Drosophila melanogaster: one gene and its partners. The protein of the gene in region 1 purifies or fractionates together with the protein of each later gene. This does not show direct contact. Each region holds a gene or a part of one and is shown on either strand. Other genes may lie near its edges.

Evidence for each region.
Region 2: the proteins of e(y)3 (region 1) and Taf10 purify together in Drosophila melanogaster (affinity purification with western blotting, with the first as the bait; 3 studies listed by BioGRID). This does not show direct contact.
Region 3: the proteins of e(y)3 (region 1) and Taf13 purify together in Drosophila melanogaster (affinity purification with western blotting, with the first as the bait; 2 studies listed by BioGRID). This does not show direct contact.

What each region holds. Positions count from the first base shown.
Region 1 is NC_004354.4:19,635,355-19,640,084, forward strand, and holds the start of e(y)3 (enhancer of yellow 3), read right to left. Parts: upstream 3,016-4,730; 5' UTR 2,019-3,015; exon of another isoform or gene 1,498-2,018; intron 1,116-1,497; 5' UTR 1,084-1,115; coding exon 1-1,083. Other genes in the region: Rcd-1 (required for cell differentiation 1), read left to right, coding at 3,956-4,039, 4,092-4,466, 4,542-4,730. UniProt on the Drosophila melanogaster protein: Essential transcription regulator during early development. Coactivates transcription of some euchromatin genes and repress transcription in of euchromatin genes translocated to heterochromatin.
Region 2 is NT_033779.5:2,766,065-2,769,112, forward strand, and holds Taf10 (TBP-associated factor 10), read left to right. Parts: upstream 1-1,825; 5' UTR 1,826-1,916; coding exon 1,917-2,162; intron 2,163-2,221; coding exon 2,222-2,479; 3' UTR 2,480-2,548; downstream 2,549-3,048. Other genes in the region: aph-1 (anterior pharynx defective 1), read left to right, coding at 251-643, 703-1,026; Taf10b (TBP-associated factor 10b), read right to left, coding at 1,273-1,713; colt (congested-like trachea), read right to left, coding at 2,581-3,048. UniProt on the Drosophila melanogaster protein: TFIID is a multimeric protein complex that plays a central role in mediating promoter responses to various activators and repressors.
Region 3 is NT_033779.5:20,092,588-20,095,585, reverse strand, and holds Taf13 (TBP-associated factor 13), read left to right. Parts: upstream 1-1,736; 5' UTR 1,737-1,817; coding exon 1,818-1,862; intron 1,863-1,925; coding exon 1,926-2,268; intron 2,269-2,339; coding exon 2,340-2,362; 3' UTR 2,363-2,474; downstream 2,475-2,998. Other genes in the region: nesd (nessun dorma), read right to left, coding at 1-1,147, 1,233-1,377; Pyroxd1 (pyridine nucleotide-disulfide oxidoreductase domain 1), read right to left, coding at 2,475-2,998.

The sequences.
Region 1 (4,730 bases):
TAGCGTTGTCTTGATCATCAGCTTGGGCACCGTCTGCATCTCCGCCAGTGAGGACGACGACGACGATGAGGAGGAGGACGAGGCAGATGAAGACGAGGCGGATGCGGGCGAGAGGCTGGACAGGTGGGCATCGTTCTTGGCGGGCATAGCTGACTGGGCGCCACTCACAGCTGCTGAGCACGATCCAGAGTTGGAGTTGGAGCCGGAAGCAGCCGGATTCTCAGGCAACTTGATGGTCAGCTTAGGCACCACGCTGCCTACGCGCCTCTCGTTCGCGGCGCGGATGGTCAGCTTTGGCACAATGTGCGGGGTGTTTCGTAGTTGTTGGCCGAGGGTGGTAGCCACCTCGTCCTCGGCGCACGACGAGGAGCAGGAAGAGGCGTCCGCATCGAAGGCATCTTGCTGCTTCGCAACCAAGCCTCCTTCCGCTCCGCCGCAGGGCAGCTGAATGCGCAGGGGCTCCACGCGCCTCTCATCTCCGCCCGGCTGAGATTCATTTGCGTTTGAGTTGGGATTGGCGTGCTTGGAGAGCTTCAGGATGATCTTATGTCCATCCCGCTCCTCGCTCTCTACCTCAAGCGCCGTAGCGGCCATCGGTCCACCTGCTGCTCCCGCTGCTGATGCTGCTGATGGTGCTTCTCCGGATGCTGAGCTGGCCGATGCAGATGCTCCAGTTGTGCTTGGGGCATCGTCGCACGGCGTCGTCGGCGGTGGCAGCGTCGGCGGAGGCGACGCTGTGGTGCTGGTTATATGGCCGGGCTGATTATGCTGGTGCTGCAGTGCCTCCTCCCGCTGCTGCTGCTGCTGTGGCTCTGGCTCCTGTTCCCGGTCCCGATCTGCATTCAGCTGCTGATCCCGCTGGGCTGGCGACGACGTGGAGCTAACTCGCTGCTCCTCCTCGCTCGTGCTGCTCGCTGCCACTGACTTGGCGTTGCTATTAGCGCTACAGTTAGACTGGGGGCGACCTGCTGCTCCGGCTGATCCTGCTGTGGACGTGGCGGCTGCCGATTCTACCGCTGTTCCCGATTCCGATCCTGATGACGATGTCGCTGCTACCATCTGCTGCTGACGTAAATCATTCATTGCTATATTCGATTGTCCAGTGGGCCGCCAGCCTGCAAAAAGAAGTGGACGATACTTTAGATCAGGGTGCATGATAGCAGTCGATAAGATTCGGGACTTTCAACAACTAATTCTTAAATTTGCATGTGAAATCAATCCTAAAGAAAACCGCCAATACAGCATATAATAATGCGTATAATTGCCGCTCCAAGGGATGCATTTTGTTTACACTAAAAAGAGACAATTTGAAAAGGGGAACGACCTACAGACACACACACCCACAAATACACTCATACATACATACATACATATATGTACATTTGTACATACACACTTATTGGAGCCCAATGAAAGAATAAAATTGAATGAAAGCCGGGTAGAGTTACGAACTAATTATAGCACATGTCTAAACAATTAAACCGTATTTGTAAATACCGAAGGACGCGCAGGTTTAAACAGTCGCCAGCCGAAAATTCCGATGAAAATGCAATACGATTTTCCGGCGCTGAAAAACTACCGCTCGAAATTGCCGCGAAAAACTTCAAGCGAAATAAACACAAGAAGAACCACGGCGAGGGCAACAACAACAACACTTAATAAATAATAAGCGCTGCAAACATGCGCACACAGCTGTCGACTGGGGGAGAACGTGAAAAGGCAGGAGGAAGATGAGGATGAAGCGGAATGGCTATGGCGTTGAGCGCAGAGGAGCGCAGCGAAGCAGCGGGATAGGCAAATACTGAGAAAGCCGCGCCGCCACGAATTATGGCCTGTTTGTTACTGGTGTGTGCTGGCAACACTGACGCGAATTCACCACGCTGGCGGCCAAATCCACCACAAGCAGTCGATGCCGCTGCATGGAGAAAATCCACACACACACACACACATACGAAGGAGCACGACACGCACACACTCATATGGGTTGGTTGCCCTGGCCTGCGTATATGTATGCTTACATTTCTACTGGCCAAATGCAAGCATCTATCTATCTGCACTAGGACTAATATTATTGTGAGCACGATTTTAGAGCGCAATATCGACAGCCAGTGCACTGGCAACAAAATTAGCAACAACGACGCCGCCGCCAAAGCCCTGACCCAACACCACCACTACAACCACTACCACTACCAATACCAACGACAACAACAATAACGAACGGGGCAAAGAAGAAGCAGCAACGACAAGCAAACGGCAAACTCACCATGCGGCAAAGTCGTCGCTCAGAGACAGACAAAAGAAGATGGTGGAGTAGAAGAGCGCCTGCTTTTGATTTGCGTGCACAATTCGCGATTGCGATTTGGATTTGCTATTTCGTTTGCCTTTGCCTTTGCTGGCATTGGCATGCTCATATTTCTATGCACTTTGATTGATGCTGCGCGACGCCGTGCGGCAATTTTCTTTTTTAGGCGTTCGGCGTTGTTGGGCGAGAAGTAAAACACATTTTTCCATACGATTCAATGCGATTTCGAAGCACGGGCAACACTCGACTCTCGGCCGCAGTAGGCACTACTCGCACGCACACATCGGCGGTGCACACGCATGCACACACACACACACAACAGCAACAGAACGGCACACACACACACACGCTCAGTCGTACGCACACAAAGGCAGCGACACAGAGACAAGCGCAACGAGCTCTCTCAGTCGCCGTTGTCCCACTTTCCGTGTATTGGTTTCGATTCGTACACTTTTCCACGCACTTTTAACGATTCAAATTCGATGGTACAGAAGGCAGGGCGACACGAGAGTGCATTGGAAACTGGCGCAAACCTCAAAAAAATATATCCAACACGCTGGCCGCACGCACGACTCGTATGCAGACTGGTTCTCGGCGCGCGTCGAACGTTCTTATGCATTCATTATTGAACGGAATGCTCTGTTTCGCCTGTCTGCTTATGTTTTTTTCTTTTCGATTCCGAGGTACTCGTCACGACAAATGAAAATCAGTGTGGCCGTTTTGCGGCTGTCAGCTAGATACCCGGCTGGCGGGGAATGTGCTAAGAAATACCACAAAATCGACGGGGATAGCCGGGATACAAACCAGTCGGTGCACTTGACTACCGCTAAATGCGTCTTTACTAAATTGCATTTTTAGCTTTTAGCATGCAAATTATGAACTATAACCTAATTAAAATACCCATTATGGTTATTACTTTTGATCAATGTAATCATCGGTCATTCGCAATCACGCGCTCACGTCCATTCATTATTTCTTTGCAATGTCATCCTTTTTCAAAGATATCAAGCCTATTTTCTTCAAAATTGTAGACTTTTGCATTTTGCACCAACAAAGCATGCGCAAGCAGTTGTATTTGGCAAATCATGTTTGATTTCATTCAGACTTTGTGTTTTCGTACGGCGGGAAGTTTCTCTGAAAATTTAAATTTATGTACATATTTACATCGACGCTGGAAAACAAATAGCGCGCTTGCGTTTCACCAATTTCCAGCGGCATTTGCGCGGTTCTGGCCACACTGTTCGGCACACAACATAATCCTGGTTGTCGCCACTTGTTTTCGATCATTTTAGACTTAAACCAATGCAAAAGGAATTTCCTGCTAACGTTATCGATAATCGCAATAGACGCCAAATCGCCAGTTTTACCTCTTCCTTTTTCGCAGGCCCCGTTCCGTTCAGCGAATTCTCGCCCGAGCTAAGTCTATTGCAAGCGTCCGGCTATAGAAATCGACGACAAATCGCTAGTTCCACCTCTTCCTTTTCGCAGGCCCCATTCCGTTCAGCGAACTCTCGCCCGATCTAAGCGTCCGGCGATAGGAATCCACCTCTTCCTTTTCGCAGGTCCCGTTCCGTTCAGCGAGTTCTCGCCGACACTAAGTGCATTGCAAGCGTCCGGCGACAGTTCTTACCCAGATCTTGTCAAGTTAACACGATGAGTGCTCAACCGAGTCCGCATATGAATCCTCAGCAGCAGCAGCAGCAGCAACAGCAGCAGCAGCAGACCGAGCAGGAGAAGGTAAGCCGATGTCGGCAAGAACGCGTGCTAGCTTTAACTTATCGCCCGCCAGGTGTACCAGTGGATCAATGAGCTGGCCCATCCGGACACGCGTGAAACCGCTCTGCTCGAGCTAAGCAAGAAGCGTGAGACGGACCTGGCCCCCATGCTGTGGAACAGCTTCGGGACCGCCTGCGCCCTGTTGCAGGAGATTGTTAACATCTACCCATCGATAACGCCGCCCACTTTGACGGCCCACCAGTCGAACCGCGTGTGCAACGCCCTGGCGCTGCTGCAGTGCGTCGCCTCGCACCCGGAGACTCGCACGGCCTTCCTGCAGGCCCAGATACCGCTGTACTTGTACCCTTTCTTGTCGACCACGTCCAAGACCAGGCCCTTCGAGTACTTGCGCCTGACCAGTTTGGGCGTGATTGGTGCTCTGGTCAAGGTAGGTTAAGCCGAAGGCCAGTGGTCATCTAATGCACTAATGCACTTGTTGTCTTCTTATTACTGCTATCGACAGACCGACGAACAGGAGGTGATCACCTTTCTGCTGACCACCGAGATCGTGCCCCTTTGTCTGAGCATCATGGACAGCGGATCGGAGCTGAGCAAGACTGTGGCCACTTTCATCATCCAGAAGATCCTGCTCGATGAGTCGGGTCTGTCGTACATCTGCCAGACCTACGAACGCTTTTCGCACGTGGCCATC
Region 2 (3,048 bases), on another chromosome or scaffold:
AAGTTAAGATTAAAAGATTCCCATTTGTTTGGATAATTCTCGCAGTTTAAATAATTTGTATACTTTTGCGTGACGCACAAGCTAATGTACTCATCTGTGTAGGGTATGTACACTACTAAAACGTACAGTGTGGCAGCCCGAATGGCACTGCAAAAGTCTGGCAACTCTATGCGAGTCTCTGCTTCCTCTTCCCAAGTAAACCAAAACACCCACAGAGCAAAAGAAAAAACAGTAATAATACAAAGACAAGATGACGTTGCCCGAGTTCTTTGGCTGCACCTTCATCGCCTTCGGACCGCCCTTCGCCTTGTTCGTCTTCACCATCGCCAATGATCCAGTGCGGATCATCATTCTGATTGCGGCGGCATTCTTCTGGCTGCTTTCCCTGCTGATCTCTTCCCTGTGGTATGCCCTGATTCCGCTGAAGGAGTTCCTGGCATTTGGCGTGGTCTTCTCGGTGTGCTTCCAGGAAGCCTTCCGGTACATCATCTACCGGATACTGCGCAGCACGGAGCAGGGATTGCACGCCGTGGCGGAGGACACGCGAGTGACGGACAACAAGCACATCCTGGCCTATGTCTCCGGCTTGGGATTCGGCATTATATCCGGGATGTTTGCACTGGTCAATGTGCTGGCTGATATGGTGAGTGCAGCAAAGGTGCGTAATGTGCTCCGAGCAATGACAGATCTTTTGGTTTTTAGAGTGGTCCCGGCACCATGGGCTTGAAGGGCGGAACTGAGCTATTCTTCGTCACCTCGGCTGCCCAGGCGTTGTCGATTATCCTGCTGCACACCTTCTGGAGCGTTATTTTCTTCAACGCATTCGACACAAACAACTATATCCACATAGGCTATGTGGTTTTCAGCCACCTGTTCGTCTCCCTGATAACTCTGCTCAATGCCAATGAGCTTTACACGACCACTCTGCTGATAAACTACTTGGTCACCATACTTACGGGAGTCCTGGCCTTCCGGGTGGCTGGAGGAACATCTCGCAGTTTCAGAAAATTCATAACATGCCAGTAAACATACTCCTAGTATTAACCGCCTAGTTAATAGCTTTTGTATAACATTATAAAAAAAAACAAATTACCTTGTATATGCTCGATTAGTTACGCATTCTATGGACTTAAATCCCTTTACTAAATGGATTTCTTGAAAGAATGAGAATGCATTAAGATCCCAAGGTCTTTCGCAATAAATTCCCAAAACACAGATCTTAAGATACATTATTTTTAATGAGAAAAAAACTACTACAATGCATGCCATTATCTACTGACTATAGTCCACTTTCCTAACATTAATACCGTAGTCGGCCAAAGCCGGCTGCAGATCCTCCATGGTCAAGGTGAACTTGCGGTCCTTGGCCTTCGATCCTCCCGGTGTATTGGTGGTTTGCATATGGGTGCGCGCCTTGGAGTGCTGCAGTGCATCGTCGATGATGTCGGACATGTACTTCTGGGCGGCTAGGCTGATCAGCCGAACGATGCGCTTGTCGTCCGACTGAAAGCCTCCCATGTTGAGATAGTGCGAGGTGACCGCATCCGGAATCAATGGAGTATAATCTTCCAGCTGCGACATGAAGTCGCTGAGATGCGAAGATGGTGTGGTCCTATCCCGATCTCCACCGCCACCTCCTCCCGAGGATTGTCCATGACTGCTTGCGCCACCGGCGCTGTTGTGGTAAATAATTCCGAAATTGGAGCCCACCATCGAAAAAAGTGTACAATACAAATTAAACACAGTGCAGACGTAGTGATGGGAGATGCTAGTTATCGAATTATTCCGTATTGTTGCTGCCAGTGCTATCGATTCTTCTTACGGTTCGTCATCGATTACAATATAAACATACACACATATACACGCCAGCTGAGATAACAAATTTCTGGAAATAAACAATTAAAAAGTGGAAAACAATGGCTTCCGATGGCGAGGACATCAGTGTTACACCCGCAGAATCCGTAACATCGGCCACGGACACCGAGGAGGAGGATATAGACTCGCCACTAATGCAGTCCGAACTGCATTCCGACGAGGAGCAACCGGACGTGGAGGAGGTTCCTCTGACGACGGAGGAATCGGAGATGGATGAGCTGATAAAGCAGCTGGAGGACTACTCGCCCACCATACCAGACGCCCTCACCATGCACATCTTGAAAACGGTAGCTATATACCGGAAACTATTCTTTGTAGCATTTCTAATATTGGATTAAATCTGCAGGCTGGCTTCTGCACAGTGGACCCCAAGATAGTGCGCCTCGTCTCGGTGTCCGCGCAGAAGTTCATCTCGGATATTGCCAACGACGCACTGCAGCACTGCAAGACGCGCACCACGAACATCCAGCATTCCAGCGGACACAGTTCCAGCAAGGACAAGAAAAACCCCAAGGACAGGAAGTACACGCTGGCCATGGAGGACCTGGTGCCGGCACTCGCGGACCACGGCATCACCATGCGCAAGCCGCAGTATTTCGTTTAGATTTAGTTAAGCTCTAAAGTTTTGAATTGGGCACACAAATATAGCTAGTTTTCTTCAAGTTGTAAAAACATTTTAGCGAGGCACTTTCTTTATTAGACAAACTAGAAATTTGGAGCTACGATGTTAAAGAATTTGTTAGCCAACTCAATGCCGAAGAAGCAGGCAGCGTTGGCTGGGAAGGCTCGGAGCATGATGGGCGTCACGCCGCGGTACAAGGCCAGAGGTCCATCCTTGACAATCAGATCCTTGAAGACACTGCGTATGCCGTGCTTGTAGGTGCCTTCGGGAGCCGATTGTAGGCGGCTCTTTAACACGTCGGCTGGCATGCCCAGAATCCAGTAGGCCATGCCCGCCACTCCACCTGCGAAAATCGTTGAGGCAGTACTGATTTGTCCCGTCTCTGACTTCGACTTGGCCACATCCTGCAGCGCCTCGTAGACCAGGAAGTACAGCCCGTTGGCGGGCAAATCCCTGAGCATTGTGGCGCAGCTGCCCTTGAAAACGCTGCGAAGTCCACCCTCCTTGTATAGCTTGCCGGCGCAGTCGATCATGCCGTTGTACTTGCGCTC
Region 3 (2,998 bases), on another chromosome or scaffold:
CGCAGCAGGATCCCTCTACGGACATGACGACAATCCAAAACCAATTCCGACAAGGTATAGTCGCCATCAATGACCAGCAGGGTGCTATCCTCATCGCTCGAGCACACCACAGGCAGCAGGGAAAGATCTGCAGCAGGACTTAGTATGGCTTCCGGCTGAGTGAGTCCCCTTAGGCTGCCATTATCGTTGAGGTGCTCCAAGAATTTGATTGTATGCTCGCCGGGCGAAAGTAGAATATCATCGTTGCTCTGACAGATGCTCAGGACATCCTGCAACGTATTGGACAGCTGCACTTTCGATTCCGGCTTGACCAGCGTCTGGGCCAGCTTTAGCAGTTCCAGCTGCTGCTGCAGTTTTCCCGGCAAGGTTACCACATGGCTTATGGAATTCCGCTCTACCAAGAGATCCTCCGATTGTCTGGTTCTTCCTGAGGAGCAGCGAAGCCGCTTGAGGCTATTAGACTGTAGCTCGCTGTAGGCTCGCCTCATTTCAGGATTTTCAAGGATCTCGAACTCGCTCCTTATGATGGCCATGCGCAGGTGCAGGCACATCAGATCTGTAACCGGCAGACTGGACACATTGAGACAGCCATTGGCACTGCCCGCTTTAGATTGCTTTCTAGCGGGCTCTGCTACGCTGTCATTGAGTTCCACAGCCTCGTCGTCGCTCTCGGCATCACTGAGATCCAGTTCCAAGTAGTCCAGACGCTGCTGAATGTATTTGGCTTCGGCGAGCAGGGTGCGCATGTGCAGGGCCAACGGACGGGGCAGTCGGTTCTTGCTGAGATCGCACACTAGTTGGATACGAGCCTGCAGATGCTGTTGCACCCAGTCGCGATCATCGTCGTAGTCCTTGTCCCAAGGCATCCACACATGCGTATAGAAGAACCGCAAACGATCGATGCATTCAGCGGTGGTATCCACATTTAGAGCTGCGTTCTCCTGCTGCACAGTGGGCCACAGCTCCACTAGCGATACTTCATTACTCTCCGGCAGGTGGACATCGCTATCCTGCACGGCGGTCACCACAAATACCGCCTTGAGCTCGTCAAAGATCACCTGCTCCACGTAGCCGTAAACAATGGTGGGATAGCGTAGTTTCAGATCCTCGCAAATAACGCGTGGAATTTTCCAAATTGCCTGCCATCCTATATATCCCATATAGATACATATATGTATATATAGTTGCCTTTTGTGCACGAGTGTGTGTGTGTGTGTGTGTGGGTGGCTTACCTGCAGGCTCAATTTTTAATTCGACGTAGGATTTCCACTCGGATCGAACCTGGGATGCGGGCATCACGGCTCCCTCCCACGAAAGCACCGCCTCCGCTTCTTTTAGGCGCTCCAAGTACGATTTCTCAAAGGTAAACACTTCCATTTTCCCCTTTTGAATGAACGATGTGTTCGTTTATAAAAATTTTTGAAATGCGTGTGCAAGCAAAGGCTTCGATAACGATTGTTCGGGCGGCGTTATCGCGCAGTGCAACCATGTGTTGAGTTTGGCTAGATTTTTACTCGTGGCTATAATTTAAGCACCTATATAAATATATTTTAGATGTATTTTGTATGGTCTTGAATAAATTCACAATTTATTTAATCACGAACCAAAATATTTAGATTTGTTGACAAGCTCAGATATTTGAAATATGAGCTCGCAATCTAGCTATTTCGAGTTAGTCTCAGTATCAGCTACCTTCTCAACCAATTATCGCCAGCAGTGCTGCAAGTATCGATTACAATGCTCATTCAATGCGGTGTTACTCGCGTAAACACAAAATTTGTATACAAATTCAACGTTTTAATTGAAGTCTGAGCACTATGGCCTCAAATAGCATGCCAGAGGAGAATTTCGAGGGCGGTGATGTAAGGAAATATTATAAGCACCAGTTCCAATGTCTCCGATTCTAAGCTAATCACCATTTTTAGTTCAACTTTGATGACGACGCGGAGGATGACCAATTTGTGGCTACCAACTCAGGACGAAAGCGCCTATTCAGCAAGGAGCTGCGCTGCATGATGTTCGGATTCGGAGACGACAAAAATCCATACACGGAAACCGTAGATCTGCTGGAAGACCTGGTCATTGAGTATATAGCTGAGACCACTCACCGGGCAATGGAGATCGGTCGAACAGGCCGTGTTCAAGTCGAAGACATTATCTTCCTGGTGCGCAAAGATCCCCGAAAGTACGCTAGGGTGAAGGATCTTCTGACCATGAACGAGGAGTTGAAAAAGGCACGAAAGGCCTTCGATGAGATCAAGTATGTGGGTGAGTATTGCAAAAGTTCGACATTTCCTAAGAACTACATGTAATCAACCATTTAAACGAATAATTCCCAGGCACCGAAGGCAAGCTCAAATGACAGCGGTCAAAAAAAGCCACACCAAATCCAGGTATAAGCCAAACCTAGCAGTTAGCTCCAAGATGCGAATTATTTTTAATGTCTTTAATACTCTAAGCTAGCGCATAATAAACTAATCAAAATAGTCTTCAATGTCAATGTCGGGATTAAGAATATCATCGCCATAGGGCTCCAAATCAATGCCGTTCAGGATGAGGTTCTCGCAGGTCTCTGCGAGATCAGTGTTGCCGATTAGCATTGCTCCCCGTAGTCTGCCATTTTGAAGCACAAACTTGATGTATTCCTTATTTCTCGTGCAGCGCACCAGAATTTCGTAGTCCCTGCCCAAATCCTGACCATTAAAGCGTCCCAGCAGGACAACAGGATATCCGAAAAGTTTGGTTACGTGGCCAAAGAGCTCGAAGCAGAAATCCTGGTACACGCTTTCACCTTCACTGGCAGCCGCCATACTCCTGCCCGCCATGGAGCCCATTTGGCGAGCCTGAGTCCACAGGCGCATCTGGAACCAGTGCATTGCGGCTGGCCAGTTGGCCGTGCACACATCACCGGCCGCAAAGACATCCACCAGATTCGTACGCATCATTTCATCCACCGATATGCCACCATCGTCGGAAAATTGAAGTGGCGAATCACACG